Danio rerio: one gene and its partners. The main gene of each other region encodes a partner of the protein of the gene in region 3 in a complex. Links are inferred from orthologs where the notes say so. Each region holds a gene or a part of one and is shown on either strand. Other genes may lie near its edges.

The links.
Region 1: polr3f (region 3) and crcp share a complex: the UniProt entries of both Homo sapiens proteins name them as parts of the RNA polymerase III complex. The link is inferred for Danio rerio from reciprocal best matches to the Homo sapiens genes POLR3F and CRCP.
Region 2: polr3f (region 3) and polr3c share a complex: the UniProt entries of both Homo sapiens proteins name them as parts of the RNA polymerase III complex. The link is inferred for Danio rerio from reciprocal best matches to the Homo sapiens genes POLR3F and POLR3C.
Region 4: polr3f (region 3) and zgc:171971 share a complex: the UniProt entries of both Homo sapiens proteins name them as parts of the RNA polymerase III complex. The link is inferred for Danio rerio from reciprocal best matches to the Homo sapiens genes POLR3F and POLR3D.
Region 5: polr3f (region 3) and polr3k share a complex: the UniProt entries of both Homo sapiens proteins name them as parts of the RNA polymerase III complex. The link is inferred for Danio rerio from reciprocal best matches to the Homo sapiens genes POLR3F and POLR3K.

What each region holds. Positions count from the first base shown.
Region 1 is NC_133196.1:33,906,782-33,910,937, reverse strand, and holds the start of crcp (DNA-directed RNA polymerase III subunit RPC9), read left to right. Parts: upstream 1-1,348; 5' UTR 1,349-1,381; coding exon of another isoform or gene 1,382-1,389; intron 1,390-1,953; 5' UTR 1,954-1,966; coding exon of another isoform or gene 1,967-1,985; coding exon 1,986-2,003; intron 2,004-2,093; coding exon 2,094-2,192; intron 2,193-4,156. Other genes in the region: asl (argininosuccinate lyase), read right to left, coding at 30-44. UniProt on the Homo sapiens protein: DNA-dependent RNA polymerase catalyzes the transcription of DNA into RNA using the four ribonucleoside triphosphates as substrates.
Region 2 is NC_133191.1:14,591,559-14,595,688, reverse strand, and holds the start of polr3c (DNA-directed RNA polymerase III subunit RPC3), read right to left. Parts: upstream 2,805-4,130; 5' UTR 2,712-2,804; intron 1,279-2,711; coding exon 1,132-1,278; intron 1-1,131. Other genes in the region: rnf115a (E3 ubiquitin-protein ligase RNF115), read left to right, coding at 3,389-3,586. UniProt on the Homo sapiens protein: DNA-dependent RNA polymerase catalyzes the transcription of DNA into RNA using the four ribonucleoside triphosphates as substrates.
Region 3 is NC_133197.1:25,881,322-25,884,836, forward strand, and holds part of polr3f (DNA-directed RNA polymerase III subunit RPC6), read right to left. Parts: exon of another isoform or gene 3,333-3,515; intron 2,578-3,332; coding exon 2,470-2,577; intron 2,397-2,469; coding exon 2,205-2,396; intron 1-2,204. UniProt on the Homo sapiens protein: DNA-dependent RNA polymerase catalyzes the transcription of DNA into RNA using the four ribonucleoside triphosphates as substrates.
Region 4 is NC_133187.1:7,835,675-7,839,671, forward strand, and holds the start of zgc:171971 (uncharacterized protein), read right to left. Parts: upstream 2,801-3,997; 5' UTR 2,747-2,800; coding exon of another isoform or gene 2,742-2,746; 5' UTR 2,718-2,741; intron 2,435-2,717; coding exon of another isoform or gene 2,434-2,434; coding exon 2,260-2,433; intron 93-2,259; coding exon 46-92; intron 1-45. UniProt on the Homo sapiens protein: DNA-dependent RNA polymerase catalyzes the transcription of DNA into RNA using the four ribonucleoside triphosphates as substrates.
Region 5 is NC_133178.1:45,547,098-45,551,092, reverse strand, and holds the start of polr3k (DNA-directed RNA polymerase III subunit RPC10), read right to left. Parts: upstream 2,802-3,995; 5' UTR 2,677-2,801; coding exon 2,566-2,676; intron 805-2,565; coding exon 717-804; intron 1-716. Other genes in the region: snrnp25 (U11/U12 small nuclear ribonucleoprotein 25 kDa protein), read left to right, coding at 3,221-3,412. UniProt on the Homo sapiens protein: Core component of RNA polymerase III (Pol III) which synthesizes small non-coding RNAs using the four ribonucleoside triphosphates as substrates. Can mediate Pol I proofreading of the nascent RNA transcript.

The DNA of each region.
Region 1 (4,156 bases), on a different chromosome or scaffold from region 3:
AAAATCAGAAATTAAATAGCTATATTTACCTCTGAACTTGCCATTGTAACAGTCTCTAGAGTAGCGACCTACGTGCGATGAGCAAACGGAAAACTAAAGCGTATGATTCAAACAGAATGAGGAAATGTCATATAATTAAAGGAACAAATCAGTGCTTTTAAGTATTCGAGGGATAAATTACAGTAAGAGCCTGCACATCCAACAGCGACCGGACTGCATTTCCTCCTCGTTTATTTTGGGACCAAGCACGCCCCGCCCATAATATGCAAATGAGGTGTTTGTGAACTAATCAAAATCATAAGCGCGATTTTTCGGGAGCTGTCGTTCATTTGAGTAACCAATCCCGTCAACTATACCGAAGGCTACAGAACCGCCTCTCTTAAGGAAAATACACTTTTATAAATCAGCATGCAGTGACGGTCATGGACGATGGATGGCGTCATTGTCTAATTAAAATGAAAGATAATGCTTTAATGGGGCGACACGGTGGCTCAGTGGAAAGCACTGTGGCCTCACAGCAAGGTGGCATGTCTGTGTGGAGTTTGCATGTTCTCCCCGTGTTGACGTGTGTTTTGCTCCGGTCCATATGTGGGTGATTGTTAATAAAGTGTGTATGGATGTTTCGCAGTACTGGATTGCAGCTGGAAGTGCATCAGCTATGTAAAACATATGCTGTATAAGTTGGCGGTTCATTCCGCAGTGGCAACCGCTGATGAATAAAGGGACTAAGCTGAAGGAAAATGAAAGAATAATGCTTTCATGTATTTATAAAATAAATTCGTCCACAGAGAACTTGTGATTTATGTCATTAGTTTTAGGATGTGTTTAGGATATAACGTAAAATGAATATTAGGGGAAAAAACATTAACCAATTTTTCATCATATGTTTAATTTAGCTGTTTAATCATTTTAACCAATACTACGCCATTTAAAGCAGCCTGCAGCCTTATTTAGATAACATACAGATTTCAATCTTAATTTTTGGAAATACCTTGATGGTATCATTTACAACTAAAATTTGCATTATGGTCCGAGACTAGATCTTGTTCTTCATTCATCAGGGTTTATCTATACCAACAATATGCAATACTGTCATTTTACCTAAAATATATATATATATATATATATATATATATATATATATATATATATATATATATATATATATATATATATATATATATATATATACATTCTATTAATTCATTGTTGGTGCAATTATAATCTATACATAGTAAACAAAAAATATTGAAATCTTATCTGTTTTAAATATTTGTAGCATTTGAACCGATTTGAACAAGACGACTGAGGGGGAACGTTTAACACAGCTTCGTTTTCTCGACGGATTGTTGTTAGATGTTGAACCAACAAAGCGAGCAGGATGGAAGTGTAAGCAACATATTTTACTTTTATATGTTTATATTCGAGAACATTTATTTTCCCTTTTTAGTTAAAATACTTATTATGTGGTGGTCTGACGGGGAAAACTACTTTGCAGGATAACAATGACAATGGAATGCTGCTCACGTGGACATCCTCGTTATAACGACAAACTGCATAACGTTATGTTGTAATTCCTACTGTGTTTTTTAGGTGTAAACATGATTCACAGAATACGTCTTAAAAATCTTATCCACAAGCCCTTCACATAGTCTTTAAAGTTTTAAATTTATAGCCAATGGATTTAGTGTGTCTCTGACTAGTTTTGCTTGTAAATACAAACTCTAAACAGTGATCTAACAGTGTTAAATCAAAATTTAAGAATCAAATTTTTAAGAGATGACAATACATTAGTAATTTTAGAAACTGAACAAAAATAAACGTTGTTAATCTTTTATATTAAAAACGGTAAATGTTGAAATATTTTTTACTGTACCTTCTGCACATTGTACTCATTTATTAATTTCCGGTTACTGTACATGATTTAAAGTAAACTAATAATAATATTAATAGTATTCTTTTGTAGGAGGGATGCCAATGCTGCTATGCTGAGCAATTATGAGGTCAGTATGAATTTTAAAACTTTCGAATAAAAAAACAAAAAGTGTACTTTTTATTGTTTGTGGCTATAGAAGTGTTCTCTACTCCACCAGGTCTATCAGCTGCTGACAGACCTGAAAGAAAAAAGAAAGGAGATGGTTAAAAATAAGCACAGCACCGGGCAGCAGAATCTCAACACCATCATGTATGAGGTGCTTGTTTTTTGATGTGATCTAACAAACATCTCCAGATGCAGCAAAACAGGCTATCTCCTTGAATGTGACAGAATGTTTAATTCCTCCTGAGGACTTGAAACCCACAGTCCATTTGTTCATAAACGAAACATGGCAAAGAGAATGGGACAACTGCATAAATAATAAATTGCATGAAATTAACCCGAAAATAAATGAAAGACGTTTAGCAAATTATAATTTTCAGACTAGGCATGATCAGATGGCCTACACCAGATGTGGAATTGGAGGATTGGATTTTAAGTTGACACATTTATATTTACTGAAAAAAGAAGCACTACGTAAATGTAATTACTGCCAGGCTGCTCTTACCATAAAACATGTTTTGTTGGAATGTAGAAGTTTAAATTCCATTAGACAAAATTATTTTAAAGAGGGTACTTCAGTGGACACTTTTAAAAAGGTACCATCAGGAAGAGTTTTAAATTATTAATTAAAAAATTAACTGAAAAATCATATTTGACTTTGAATATTTTTTTTGTGTGAATTTTTTTGTATTTATATTTTTTATATTCGTGTAAGTAACTTTTTTTATTGTAATACGAATTCGTTTTTTCATGTAATATTTTATGAATATCCATTTTGCCACGAAATAGCCATAAGTTGCTGATGTGGCAATAAATAATAAATTAATAAATAAACAAACACCTCCAAATTGGACTAGGTGATATGACAAATCATGTATAATGATATGTCATCTCATATATTGATAACGATATATATCTTACTATATAGTAACATTTCTAAAATTCAATTCATTAATAGTTTGTATTGACCACATGTAAAAGACTTTATCTAGATTTATTTTTTTTTACAATTTAAAGTACATACTCAGAGATATACTCGTATGTGATCATATTCCTCCCTTTATTTAGAATTTCAGGGCAAATATTTGATTGAGAAGGTATAAATATAAAGCACATATTAATAAAGTATATAAAACACTTTTCAAAAACCAATGATTACAGGTCCAACATTGCTAAATAATGTAAACATTGTACTTTCAAGATTGCAACTTTCTTATGATGCAGGGATGATCTGGTCAACACGCATATACAAGTATTACTGTTAACTCCACAAAATAAACTATATATATATATATATATGTGTGTGTATATGTGTGTATATGTGTGTATATGTGTGTGTGTGTGTGTGTGTGTGTGTGTGTGTATATGTGTACACACACACACAGGGGTTGGACAATGAAATTGAAACTCCTGGTTTTAGATTAATTTATAATTCATTAGTATGGTGTAGGGCAGGGATGTCAAACTCAATTCCTGGAGGGCCGCAGCCCTGCACAGTTTAGTTCCAACCCTGCTCCAACACACTTACCTGTAGGTTTTAAACAAGCCTGAAGGACTTAATTAGTTTGATCAGGTGTGTTTAATTAGGGTTGGAACTAAACTGTACAGGGCTGCGGCCCACCAGGAATTGAGTTTGACATCCCTGGTCTAGGGCCTCCTTTTGCAGCCCAGCCAATACAGCATCAATTGGTCTTGGAAATGACAGATACAAGTCCTGCACAGTGGCCAAAGGGATTTAAGCCATTCTTCTTGCAGAATAGTGGCCAGGTTACTTTGTAATGCTGGTGGGGAAAATGTTTTCTACCTTGCTCCCCCAAAACACTCCAGAGTGGCTCAATAATATTTAGATCTGGTGAATGTGCAGGCCATGAGAGATGTTCAACGTTACTTTCATGTTCATCAAACCACTCTGTCACCAGTCTTGCTGTGAGTCTTGTTGCATAATCATCCTGATACACGACACTGGCTTCAGGAGTGCACATGGTCCTCCAGAATATTTTGGTAGTCCTAGGCAGCGACATTCCCACTTAGCATAAGTATTGGGCCTAGAGAATGCCATGATATTGCAGCCCAAACCGTCACTGATCCACCCTCACGCTTCACTCTTGGTGGTACGCT
Region 2 (4,130 bases), on a different chromosome or scaffold from region 3:
GTCGATTGAAGTCAGACTGCAGACGGAAATTATTGAGTCTCTACCCAAAGATGAAACCTCAGCATTAGCCCGGCATTGAGCAGTTGGAAACTACTGGAAACTACATGCTACAAAGAATACTTCATCGGTCGTTTGTTAAAGAAAGGATCAGTAAAGACTGCTGATGGACATGCCAGGACATGGATCGGTTTCTTCCTCCATTTCTTAAGTGTAAGTACGTGCGATTAAAGTTGTTGCCTCGTTTACTCTAGCTTGCAAATGTATTTAGTTATGATTTGTTACTTATAACCGCTTGTACTGTATCAGGTTAACTCGCTATATTCTCGTATCGTGTGCAAAGCCACGTTAAAAAATGTGACGCGTGCCGCTTTGTTTGCGGACCTCTGTGGAGGAGGGTAATGTGTGTGTGTGTGTGCGCGTTGTCGTCCGGAGGAGGATTATGTGTGTGTGTGTGTGTGTGTGTGTGTGTGTGTGTGTGTGTGTGTGTGTGTGTGTGTGTGTGTGTGTGTGTGTGAAAAGAGCAGAGTGTGACAAGCTAGGAGATCTCCTCGCCAATTCTTGGAGTTTTTGCTCAATAAAATAGTTAGTCGTTGGTATTTTCAAGTCCATCGCCTGTATTTACATTCACCCACTGGCAGCTAAAATCCACACCTTACAATATGAAGTGTGTATGCACTGTGACTACTTCTATATTGTTGATTAGCTGCTGGGCATTTCACTGTCTCTCGCTGAAGGTAGTCAGTGTCGACCAATCGCAACAGACTGTCATCGGTCCAATCAGCGCAGATTAGTTTCAAGCTAAGGAGGGGTTTGGGAACAAATGAATCACTGGACGATTCATATGGTAGTCGCTGGGATAATTATGTAAAAATAAATGCAAATTATAAGACCATGAAAGTGTTTTTTGACCTTGCATGCATATTAGACTGTTGTTGGAGACCCTTACAGCCCTATTTCATGTATAATATGGGCTCTTAAAAAATATAAACATTTCAGATTCCAATTTTTTTTTTTAATAGTTTTATTCTGTTTGGATTTTGGAAACAATGGATATCCTATCCTAACAAACCACACATCCAAGAGAATCTTATTTTTTAAGCTATCAAAGAAAGCTTTAAATAGTGACATTACCAGGTCAAGAGCCAGTTTGGTCTCATGGGCAAGAGCTCTCAAGGTCAGAACTCCATTGCGGATGAGATGAGTGCCCACATTTTCCACCACATCACCAAAGTGCTCCTGCAGCAACAGCCCACACAGACGCACCTCCTGTGCTGTCATCTGTAGGACAGAGAGCAACAATCAAATCACAATCTGTAGTCAATTTATCTATGAATAATGTATAATTCTTTTTAGACATGTCAACTTGCAAACTAGTGTTGGTTGGTTTTTTTGCTCTAATTGCACAATTAGTTTTTTTCCAGCCTATTCTTGTTTCAGACTTGCACACAAAACGCATTGCAATCAATTTCCAAAATGTCACTTGTGGGAAAATATTACAAAGCCTGGGATTTTAACAGAGACCAGAGATGCTGAGAATGGATAACAAGACAGAACAGCACACAATATGCTGAACCAGGCAAAGTAAGATTTTTGTAAGGATCTCAGATTTTTGTTCTTTATTAAAAACACTTTACAAATGTACAAACCTTGTCATTGTCCTCAGCCAAATTGAACGTTCAGGTTTAATAATTTTGTGATGCTAAAAACTGTTATTTAGAAAAAAGAAAAACTTCAGAAATAGCAAGTTTAAGTTGCTATCATACACGTAAACTGATTAAAAACATGAAATTATAAAGTCTACAAATAATTACTACAAATATATATTACAAATACTTTTACAATTGTCCCCATGTTTCTGTCAGTCCTGTCACATTTGCCTTAAATTTAACATAAAATGTGTGCTATACACCTTTAAGGCTATGACTTGGAAGTGGCATCATTTGATGGGGAAGCAGACATCAAGGATACATTCTATCATTAAACTGTTTTATTTTTTATTTTAATTATTTATTTATTTATTTATTTTTTTGAGGAAGACAAGCTTAAAGGTCAGGCCCTGTCATTTATTTTATAAATAAAAATGTATGTTTCTGGTAGAATGTCTCATATATTTGGAAATCATTAAATCTAATTTGTACAGAGCACCTTTGTATATGCCTCATATGTAGTTTTCTATAGGTCAGCAACTAAAAAGGCAAATCAAATATTGTTCATGCACTTGATGTTCTTGTTCAGTCACTTAATGTAATCATTTTTCAATGTGTGCATACAGTTGTCAACATTTAGTGAATCAACTTTGATGAATATGTTGACTAATATGTTATCAGTTATTAATGTTTACATACATGATTTCGTGTTATTTATGGTCTACCCACATTTCCTTATTAATAAAACTGCTCACAATTTTAATATTACAGTTTTCCTCCTTAATCTGTAACGTTTACCTGTAACCATCAAAAATACATGTAAAGTCTTGTAACTATACATGGAGTTACTAGAAACACAAGCTACACAAGCTATAACTAAAAGCATCAGTTTAAAAACAAAACATTTTGTCAACAAAGTGCAAAAGTAAACATTCATATTTGCGTTTTGACTGGCTACTAACACTGGATTAGCGCAGAATTAGTTGTTGTCTGGCCTTTCCACAAAGCAAACATCTCACAAAGGCTAAACAAAGCACAGATGCACATGCTTAAAGACAAACTTACCTCTAAAAAGTAAGTTATCTAGATATCCGTATGTGTTATTTAGATGAGTTCACACTTTTTGATCTCACGTGTGTTGTCCAGACGGTGTGCAACGACAAGCACTGACGAATTTCCGTGGTTTGATCACGTGGAGGCGGAGCTCTGGTGTGTGAAGCTTGAGTGAATCGCTATCATGAACGGAATCTTTTTGCGGATCAAAAGAACCGAATGAATAATGAAAAATGAATCACTGTTTACTCACACTCGGGTGTTTTTTATGAAATTACTTTTTTTTATTTGAATAAACAAAAGGGTATTTTGAAAAAAAAAATGTTAGGAAATATCAGTTTCAGGAAAAAATACTATTTAAGTAGTTTTTGTTTTGTTTGTCAGAAGTCAAACAGGTTTGTAGGTAGAAGAATATTTTTTTGGAGTGAACTACAATTATCAGAGTAAAGTTCAATTAGGTGAATTACATGCTAACATATAATATTAGACTGACATAATAGCATATATAATAATATGTAATGGTCTTTTTTTGTTTTAATTTTACATTGTTCTCGAATAAAGCCCTCTCTGATCCCTGTAATACTAGTAAAACGCACACTTCACACAGCCTTATGTAAATAATTTTGACTCAGTATGTTGTTTTGATCAGCTCAGTCAAACGACTCCCCTGAGTGAGTCGACTCGCCTCAATGACTCGCACTACTGAGTGCTCATTGCCAAAGCACCTCCCTCTGCAGTGGGCGGACCGACGCTCGGCCAGCGCTGCTGCTGCTGTTGCTGTTTGGGACACAGGCAGTCTCACAGAAAACATGGCGGAGGCTGCTGCGGTCCCTCCGCATCGCTTCTTCTGTCACTGTTGTAAGGGTGAAGTGAGTCCCAAACTACCGGTGAGTCCGTGTCGCTGGTAGCGCGCAGCCGGCTCAAGTTAATGTCTTTCTGTAGTTCTGCTGTCGCTCTCGCAGGTTCCGCTGTTGTGCTAAAGTTAGCATGTTAGCAGTGTATCAGCCTGATGTGGGCGAAAGGCCTGTCGTGGTTTGTTGTTTGTGTATAAACACTAAAAAACACATGTATTTACCGATGACCGGTTTTATTAGATGTTAGACAGGTGCTTGTTAACGTAACATAAGCGGAAACCAACAGGTTTTGTGTTTAGCACCAATGCTACACTCATTTCTTGTGTTTTTGTACTGTAAATGATGACTTTTTCACATTTCACGACATGTTCAGTTTTGATAAGTGTTCAGTTATTAATGTCAGCTTTTAGAAACTTTCAGAAATGTCCTTAAATCACATCGACACTGAACTCTTCTCAGAAGTGAAACCGGAGTGCTAATGTTTCTGTTTCTGTTTTACTTGTTTATAATGTCGCATTTGCCGTAAATTATATCACAAATTCTGCAATGAACGTCAACATTTAGCACTTGGTGGTCA
Region 3 (3,515 bases):
CTTGCTGTGAGGCGACAGCACTATTTACTGCGCCACTGCATCGCCCCATAATGCGTGTGTACGATGTATTTATTATATAGACACTATGCAGTTTCTTGACCACAATGAGAGCATAAATCCTAGCAATATTGTCTTTTTAATTTTCTGTCAGTATAAATAAAAGCTACAATTTTATATAATACAACGTGACTACAGAAGACTCGAGCTTTAAATAGGAAAACTATTAACATTTTTTTAATTCTTTCAACGAAATGCAAATGGTCTAATCCAATTTAATGCATTATGCTAAGCTAAGCTAAAAGAGACGCCTCCAGAAAGAAAGAAATCGTCTAAATGGATTCAAAAATGTTTCAAGTTAACTGTTAAACTCTAGGAGACTAGTGAAAAGAGCATGTTCCTGTAATGCTGTGTCCACACCAGATGTGGCATGCGCTATTCGCTCGTTTATAAATGTGTGAACATTTTGAGTTTACTCGCTTCATTTGTGCATCATCCGCTTCACAACAGATGCAGGATCGCATCATGGTTAGGGCTTGTCTTCCTGGCAACTGTAGCTTTGTTGCTAAATGGCTAACATAGATTTTATTGAGTGAATAGCTGTTTTTACGTGCTTTATGAAGGCTGAAAAACAGCATCAATTCGTTTGGAGCCATGTCTGAGTCCACTATATCCTTTCTGAGTTGCAACCAGCTCTGTGAGTTCATAAACTCCTCCAGAAACATAATCTGGATGATGGAGGCATTCAGCAGTGCTTCTGATTGAGCCGAGCCCAGTTTGATCAACGGTTGTCAGTGTCGGCAGGGGGATTTTCCCTCAGGACACCAACAACAGGCGCTACGTCATAAGCATACCCCATACAAGAACAAGCTCCTGATTGGTTAATGTGGTGAAGCCTCCTGATTGGTTAACTGTCTGCTGAAGTTCAGATTTTACCAAATCGGGCAATTCGCTCGAAACGCACGTCAAGTGTATCAATAGCGCAAAATGCTCAACTTGCACCACATCATTCGCGCCACCTCATTCGCGTGTATCGCGCAGGATATATATTCGCAGCTTTGCTTTGACTTAACATGTAAATCACTCGCACTTGGCACTTCTTCCGCGTCTGGTGTGGACGCAGCAAAAGAGTTAAACTTAGATTCAGACCATTCAAATTTAGATATAAGAATTGCCAAACTAAGAATGCAGAATAAATAATTGATACTGATATTAAACATCATAACAATCAGAATTCAGAACCCCTAAATTTGGAATATTCAGACTCGTCAAATTGTCGAATCTACTCAAATTAAGAATTCAGAGTCATCATATTCAGAATTCAGACCAACCAATTCAGAAAATGTAGAAACCAACATTTTAAATCCAAAATACTGCTTCATACAATACAGAATTATGAAGATTCCTAATACAGACTAGGGCTGCATGAATTCACAATATTTTATTTATACGATATATATTGTGATATTGAATCAAAAATTTCACCAGATGAATTGAATAAGTCTTTTTGGAAAGAGAGACTGAATCTACATAAAATATAATAAACCAATCACAAACATTGAGATATATAATAGTGCACTACACCATACAGATTAAATAAACAGTGCTTTTTGATTTGTCTGGAAGTCTAACAATATTCACATACATAAATGTAAAATAACACTGTATGGTCTTTGTCGTATAAAATATATATATAAATACAATGAATCGCTTTTAAAGTTAGAAACATTTTTTTATGCCTAAATATTTTAATCTAACTTAAATGATAAAGACACACATAAGTAATACATGTCTTGTATGTTTATGGTTAAACGTTGCAATACCTCCACAAATCATGAGAGTTTCAAATGTAGCTCCTGGTCAAAAATAATACCTGTTCAACATTGCAGATCCTGCGATGTGACTATTGCAAAATGCGCATATTGTGATATCGATGCTGAAACTACATATTGTGCAACGCTCATACAGACTCTTCAGAATTCCCAATCACCACATCTAGGATTCAGACTAAGCCCAATAAGAATTCAGGCTTTAGAATTATCAATTTCAAATCAGACTTATCAAAATCAAGACGGAAATTTAGATTTAACCGATACAGACTCAGGCACAGTAATTCATATTGGAAACATTTTAGAACATTCTGAATTACTCCATTCAGACTTGTTTAATAGTTTCTTTCAAAAAAAAAAAAAACAGTAAAGGTTTACCGGGCACAGTCCACATGGTGTTTTAACCAGGCCAGTGGGTTGAATTATGGGATTGACTCCCCTGTAGAGCTTCATCTGTCCATCCACACTCCCTACTGTTCCCTCTTTAGCGGCAATTATGGTCATTTCCACTTTTCCATCAAAGATCAGTGTGTTCAAGATGGTCTCGATGTCCTCCATGGACAGATCCACCTGCACACAGGAGCAGCATATTATACTGAATTTTTCCGTTCATGTTTTCAGAAAGCATATTATTGACACTCACTTTGCTGATGCCGAGCTCACAGATGTATTTCCACACTTCATGAGAGGTGGCAAATGAGCTGTTTCTCTGCACCATAGGGCTCTGCTTACTATCTCTCGCTGTTTCAGCCTAAAAAACAAACATATTGCTAATTATTAAAAATTTCACATTTTTAAGTAAATGCAGGGTTTATTTTACTGTAAAATATGGATAAAACTAAATTCCATCATTCAGTCATCATTCACAAAGGTGGAGTGTTTCTTTAAGAGTCAAATTTGGAAATAACCAAATTAGGAAGTCAGAATCAACAATTCACACTAATATTCAAAAATCATCACATTCAGAATTCAGAACCGTTGAATTTGGAAAATTGAGACTCAACTTCAATCAACTTCAGAATTAACTTACATATTTCTGATTAATTCGGTGTCACACTAGTAAGTTGAAACGCAGTTTAAGGTTTGCTTTCACACCTATAGATCAATTTTTTTGTTCTGAAAATTGCTACAATGTTGCTTTTTGTTCTTGATGCGTTTTGCTTTCACATGACAAAGTTTATAGACAGATCAAAATAATTAAAACAAGCAACTGAACACCGAAGCGCTCTAGATTTTAAGCCGAGACCATCTCATTCATTCATTTTGGCATTCATAAGAACTCAATCGCGGATTTCACATATGCCCAAACAAAAGCTAAGGTGGCAAACGTGCCACATTACGAAACAAACGTCTAGCTCAAAACTTTTTTTTAATGGGTCTGCTTAAGTTATGATTAACTGATATTTGGCTTTGTTATTTACTAATGCGGGTTTCTTAACCTGATAAAAGGATTCACCTTAAAATAACCCAGAGAATTTTATTTCTTATAAAATTATTTATTATTTTACATTTATGCAAACAGAATTTATTTATTTCTTATTTTAATATGTTAAGGTGAAATAAGAGACAATAATTTATCTATGTTAATTAATAGCATCATTTATACAGTCATACAGTTATATCCATTAGATTTTAATTAATGACTGCCAAAACAAAAAGTTTTTTTTTTTCAGTAGACTGTCTTGCCTG
Region 4 (3,997 bases), on a different chromosome or scaffold from region 3:
AAATACCAAACAAAGCAATAGAATGAGATCTTTAAAAATACTTACTCATCTTTACTTTTGCGAACGGAGTGAACATTTGGAACAAAGGTTTTCTGCAAGGGAAATAAAAACACAGCGAGTCAATTAATAATTGCTTGGTTCATTATTAAAGTAACACTCATATTTATTACACATGACCAGATAGTAATTAGACTAAAATTCTAATAAACTGACAAGTATAAACATAGTATGAGGCATTGACATGATGACCTAATTTGATGTCTGCATTAAAAACAATTTACAAAAAATTTAATTTAATTTAATATTAAAAAGAATATTCAATGTAATGAAGTGTCTATAATTTGATGTCTCAGACTTTAGAGAAAGTAAAATGTCAAGAATATGGGTAAAATAATATTATTCTAGTGTAATTTAAAGTAACAGGTGCATTCATGTAAATTTAACCTGCATTTATTAGATAGATAGATAGATAGATAGATCATGTTATCATGTTATGTGATCATGTTAAATTGTATTATACAAATATATCCTAATGGTTATGGTTTTAAAAAAATGCGCTGCACATTTACATTTTCTTCATAATTTTCTCCAAAGCAGGTTTGAAACCATGTTTTTATTGTAAAAAAGCACAATGCAAGTAACATAAGTTAAAGGAATAGTTCACTGAATATTTTAAATGTAATAATGAACTCACCCACAAACCATTATACATTTCTTTCTTCAATTAAACAAAATTTGATATTTTGAATATGTTGAAAACCTGTAACCATTGACCACCATAGTAGGAAAAACAAATACTAAGAAAATCACTGGTTACAATGTGGTAAAGTTAGTTTTATTTTCGCACATTCTGACTTTCTCCTTAATAATATAATTTCAAACAAGTATTATTGTTTTATTAATGTTGTATCACAATTATACAACATTGTCCACAGCCAAATAAATAGTGCTAATGTTGTTTTGAAGTTACATGTGATTTCAGTCCTAATATTCCTGATAAAGTACTATGGTAAACAATACTAAGGTAAAGTTGATTTTGTATTCGCACGATTGTTCAGTTTTTAACAGCGACAACTTGTGACACGCTCCCTGTATTGTTCAACAAGCTACTTTGACTATTCAGTCTGAAATAGCATGTAAGGATGTCTTCAAAACAACATTGGCACTATTTAACTGACTTTAGTTGTTAATGTTTCCCTTTGACAGTTGTTGGCTGCTAATATTAATTCATTATTTAGAATTTGCAAACAATACTTTTCTCTAGTTATATTATTAAGGAGAAAGCATGAATGTGTGAATATAAAACTAACTTAACCAAGTTACCGTAAACGATATAGTGAGCATTAGGCATGGGACAATAACCGTTTTCGAGGTGTACTGCGGTTTGGAAAAATCAAGGTTTTAAAACTGCCGAAATCTTTTGCTATACCGTTTCCTAAGGTATGTATTTGTTTGTTTTTTTTATTTATATTTTAATTATTATTTATTTTATCTCGTTTTTTTTTTATTTTTTTTTGTTTTGTTTTTTTTTAGGACAAATCTCCGACAACAAAAACATATCTAAAGGTGCTACTTTAAATTGTAAAGAAATTTGAGTTTTTGAAACTAATGAAGACAGCAGAAGTCAAAGACTTGTTTTAATTATTTACTGTAGCCTGACATGTTTACTGTTGGAAAATATTTAAAATGTTTCTCAAAGTAAATTTTTTGTATTTAAAGTGGAAAAAAAGTTTGTTTTTTACCCAGAGATTTAAAAAGAATATATTTTAGAGAAGTAATCACAATACTGTGAAACCGTGATATTTTTTATCCAAGGTTATCATCCCGTCAGAATCTTGTATCGGCCCATGCCTAATGATCATATCACAAGTTCTGAATGAACGAGCGAATACAAAACCAAATTTAAAATCTCAATAATAGTTACAGGTTTCCAGCATTTTTCATAATTATTTATTTTGTGTTTAAGGTAAGGTAAGGTAAAACTTTATTGTCCCAGTTAGGGAAATTTGTCTTGTGATGACTGCAGCTGAGGGCAAGAGCCCAAACATGGACAAAACAATAAACATCCAAAACACAAACAAGTAATTCAATAAATTCAACACAAGACAGAAACGAATAACGTTAAAGGTTTGAAACAAGGAAAGAGTAAGTAAATGATGACAGAATTTTTATTTTTTTGCGTGAACTATCCCTTTAAACCAATCTTTTGTCTTTGTTAAAGATTAAAAACAGCATTAAAAAGGTATTAGAATGAGTAACCTTTTTAAATCCTCCCAGGGTCAGGTCTCTGGACCGCAGGGAGGTCAGTCTGCCTGGTGGAGGAGGATTGTGTGAAATTCTCCCTGGCAGTCCTTTAACGTTGCCCAGAGCAAAAGACGGTCTGAAAGTGGAAGATGAGCTCGCCTCCGCGTCCCCATCTCCATGATCACACATCCTGCCAAACACACAAACAACAAACCCTACTGAGCAGCGTGCAATATGTGATTACTCAGACTCAAACAAAGGTGAAAACCTTAATTTTCCAAGAGAAACGCTCGTTCAAAATACACTAAATGTGCGCTGACTTGGATTTCAAGACGCGCGCGCCTCCATTTTGTTAGCAACCTATGCTATCAAAACAAAGCCTTTCATAGCACTTTATGACATTTAGACGGACATATTTAAAAATGCTGCGCACGGCTGCATTAGAGATAAGTGAAAATAAATACTATACGTACTTGAAATTTGTGTAAACTGCTCACATCATATCTGCCGAACTCTTCCAGCTGACAGCTACATCCTTGCAGGAGCATCATTGGTCACGTGACACGAGCCCTCTGTTAGGAAAAGATTACTCAGACATTTTATATTATATTATATTATATTATATTATATTATATTATATTATATTATATTATATTATATATCATTTTTTAATATTTACATATTATTATTTTATATATCATCTATATTATATTTTATTTTATATTATTATATCATTTTATATTATATTTATCACAATAACAAATTTTTTAATAAAAATAAATAAAATATATTTAAAGTTTTTATTTGTCCATTTAGTCTTATGGTGTCATCATGATGGTTTTGTTAATAAACTCTCAATTAATAAAATATTAATAAACTTTTAACTTAAAAAAAATTATAAGTGCTGTATATTAAATAATAATGAACTAATTTTAAATATTTTGTTTTTAACGGTTATTTTATCTGAACAATAAATAAACATTTTGTTTCAAATCTATTTACATATATATTTATAGCTATTTTTATAAATATCATATTGTATTAGGCCTATATAATGATATACTATAATAACTCTGGACTGTATTTCATAAATACTCTTTAAAATTGTAAATGGTAAATTTTAATTTAATGCACAAACATTTTAAACATATTTATTTATAGTTTTAATTTAATGCACAAACATTTTAAACATATTTATTTAAAGTTTATTTCATTCCTTTTATATGGTCTCTTTTGTGTCATAAAATGGTTTATTATCGGACTGAATTTTAAAACTACTGTCTATGAAATTTCGTGTTTTGTGTAAAATATACTCAATATTTGTACAATACATTTATTTTGAATATTATGCATTAACAAGTATAAAATAAAACTAAAATGAAAAGGTGAAAAATAAAAACATATTTTATAAAAAACTGTTGTAAAAGTAACCACTTCAGTAAGTTTTGGGACACAGACCCCTTCCATCCACCCTTCTTCTAACTCATATTGAACAAAGGGCGGCACTCAACTTTTGGCTGCCCTCACTTTTTTATTCCTATTTATATTATATTATATTATATTATATTATATTATATTATATTATATTATATTATATTATATTATATTATATTATATATTTTGCTAGCAGAGAGCTTATCATTCCTGTTAGAAAAAGATATAATAATATAATATAATATCTAGTTTTTCACAATAATGAATAAATATTGTTCATTAAAATAATGTAAATACATTTAAAGTTTATATTTGTGCA
Region 5 (3,995 bases), on a different chromosome or scaffold from region 3:
CACACTAGAAACACACTAAAGGACACACCAATCCATACTAGATACATACTAACAAACATACTAAAAATATATTAATCCACATTTGAAACATAGTAATAATATACCAATCCATGGAAGAAAAACATAACATACTCCAAATATACCAATCCATACTAGAAACATAATAAACCACATTAAAAAACAAACCAAGGCCACACCAATTCATACCATAAAACATAATAAAAATATACTAATCCATACTAGAAACATACAAACAATATACCAATCTATACTAGAAACATACTAACGGACACACCAATCCATACTAAAACATACTAAAAATATACTAACCCACACTAAAACATACTAACAATATACCAATCTATACTAGAGACATAAACCACACTAGAAACATACTAAGGACACACAAATCCATACTAGAAACATACTAACAAACATACTAATAATATACCAATCCAGACTAGAAACATACTATAATAATCTAATCCACACTAGAAACATACTAACCATATACCAATCTATACTAAAACATACCAATCCATACTAGATACATGCTGACCTATATGTAGTTATCAATCTATGCCGACTGTTTCAAAATTCTTAAAAACTATTTCAATTAATTAAACTTTAAAACTACTTCAAACTTTCAGACTAGTCTCAGTCAATCCACCATAAGTTTGTGAGCAAACTTTACTTTTCAAGTTTCATTTGTTTACCTGCAGTGGAATCCACATTTTCCCAAGCAGCAGATCCTCCAAGAACATCATCAACCTCCTTCAGTTTGGGGTACTTTCTGTTGTTTACCTGTTAAAGCACATAAACAGGTTTGTTTTCCTATTTTTTTATCAGGTCAATGATACTGTCTATGCCTGACCATAAACCTAACCCTCATAGAAACAAGCTTCAATTGTTAGATACTAATAAAAACAAGGATGGTTCAAGGTGATTTATAAGTGTTTTTAATTTTACTGCAAGTTGCTGAGACTTATTTTAGTATGTTGAAGGACCTCAAACTGAAACTGCATATTGAGTAGGGGGCGGGGCTTTCTTTTTGCACATCATTCCCTCATCAACTAAAGGTAAGAGGGGCGTGGTTAGGAATATTGTGGATGCATCTGCCAAACTGACATCATCAGAGAAGGACTGCCACTCCAAACGCCAGAGCAAATGGTCAGACTTTGAAGATTATCAGAACAAAGATTTTTTTTTTCGGTGAATTAGCTTGCATGGATTTATCATTTACCTAAAGAATAGCATTGTGTGCTTGTAAAATAAACACTGTAAATTTGGATTTCACACAGACTTTAAAGAATATATATGCGGAATGTTGAAAAAAACTATCAATGACATAAATAGCAAAAATACTATGACAAGTGGCTCTTCTTTAATATGTCACTGTATAAATACAGTTGTTACCAGTGTCTAAAACAGCGTCATTTTGAATTCTAATCAGAGTTTGAAATTGACTTTTTCACTTAACAGCCAATTACATTTACAGACCAACTAAGCATTGAAAACTTGTATGTGTTTTGGCCATTTGTTTGCACAACAGCATTTTGGGGGATGCAAAAATGAGTTTTTAAGAGCTATCTTTTAAAAACAATGTCAGTAGTTTATAGAGGTGATTTATTTATCCAGGTTTTGTGTTATGATTCTGAAGTTAGTATTGTCATGTGCTATAATTGCATCTGTGTCTTTAAGACGGGAAACAGGTGGCATGATGGGAAGTTTTGTAATGTTACGGAGTTCATAGACACAAGAGAAGTAAAGAGTGGTGGTAAAATGTTAACCTGCGTGTGGCACTGTGGCTGATTTAATTCAGAAGTATGTGCAATTTATGAATGAACATTTGATGATAAGACACACATACATAAGTATCTATGAAGTGACATCAAATATAAACTTTTAAGTATCCAGATGTTTATCCACCTGAAGCTATAACAATATTTCTAAAAAATTTCTAAAATATTTTTAATTCCTACGTTTTCAAGATAATATAAACGAAGTTCTTGGTTTATTAAGTACATTGAGTAAGTTTATATCTTCTGTTAAACAAAAGAAGATATTTTGAAGAATGTTGCTGGGATCCATTGACTTCAATCAACTCTTATTTCCTACTATGGTAGAAAATGGGTGCCAGCATTATTCAAAATATCTTTTAATGAGAATTTATTCTAAAACTGTAAATTTTATACATAAATATAATAACGTGATGAAATAAAGAGCATTTTAAAGTACAATACAATCTTATAATCATTTAACCATTTCATTTAAGTAACTACTCAGTAACCCAGCGTTATTTATCATGCTCTGAAAGCAATGTTTGATAGAACATAAACACTCCCTCACTCAAATCTATTTTTGTTATATAATTTGTAATGTTAGAAACATTGATCTCATCAGATGTTCCTCACACGTTCTCATATTATCGAATCAAGTCATTTCTTTCGTTTCATTCGAATCGAACTTTTAAATGTCGGCGTTCCGTCGAACTTTAATGCGTTCGAATCAAACGTTCCAAACGCTTATTAGATACAAATTTCCATAACCGGTGTTATGCATTACCTTCCTCGTGATGTTGTGCACATATGGACATGTGTTACACGCGAATCTAAAGCATCGCTGTCCTTCTTCCACGATTAACACATTCCCACATGTCGGACAAAACAGGAGCATTTTCAAACAGTCATAGATTATGTTACGTAGTAAATACAGTTATAGTTTCTTTCTGATGCAACTGAAGTTGGTATTTACACACAGTCCTTTCTAAGTCGCTACAGGAAGCACATGACAATCAATGTGCCTCTGTATTATTGGCTCGCCATAAAACGAAATATAGACAAGGATGAACACTGTTTCTGTTGTATATATTAAACTTAAATATATATGAAAATGTCAACGAATATATTAATGCTGATTAAAAAATATTTTAATAGAAGATTGTTATTGTAATAAAGAATGTGAATCATAAAAAACCTATGCGGAACTAAAGTCGGGTGCATCACTGAAATATTCCGACAGCGTGTTTATAAAAATGAAATGTAAAAAGAAATGCTGGAACGGCTCAAATTGTTAAAGTTACAATTTTTAATACAATAAGCTTCTGCAAAAGGCGTACAGTTTTTTTACGAAATTGTAGTTATGTTAACTATTAACGCTTAGTGACTTTTTTATAAGTCTTGGATTTCTATACCCTCAAAACAAGACGTTTGAAGATAAAATGGACGAAATAAAGGACGAAACCGAGCTCAAAAAAGAGTTAGAGGAGAAAACTGTGGAAGATGAAATAAAAGAGGAGCACGAAGAGGAAGAAGACGAGGAGGCTCTTCCACACTCAGAAATTCTGGACATCTTTGAAGAAGGGCTGGCTCTCATAGTGCAGGACCCGCTTCTGTGTGACCTGCCCATTCAGGTGTACATGCAGTCAAGGGGCTGTTTTAAACGGACAATTCACCCAGATATTAAAATGTTCGGTTAATTGACATCCCAAGATTCTGTTCTTAAGTAGAACAGAAAATACGTTTTTTTTTTAAGTTGAGAACTATGTTTTCCTATGTACGTTATCTATATAATGGTGGTCAAGAAGCGCCATCACTTTGAGTTTAATATATTTAAAATCTTCCTCAGAGCTGTTTGTCCAGGTTGTGAATAGCTGATAATGTAGTTGTAAATACTAGAGGGTAATAGTTCCAGCTTAAAATCTTCTATATTCTACAGATTTTTTTTCAACAGTTTCTTCTCCTCTGTGTCAGTATAATGCTCACATTTATGTGCCGCGTTTGGTTGCACCTCTGACTTGCTTATTACCTCAAATGTGTCTGTGAATTGTTTCAAACTAAGGAAGTCATAGTCAGTACATAAGTGCACACCACTCGTGAACACATGCAATACACTGAGGAGAAGAAACTGTTGAGTAAAGTAGTTATTTTTGTTTTATGTGCACACAGATGTATTCTCGTAGCTTGATAATATTCTGATTGAGCCACTGTAGGCAT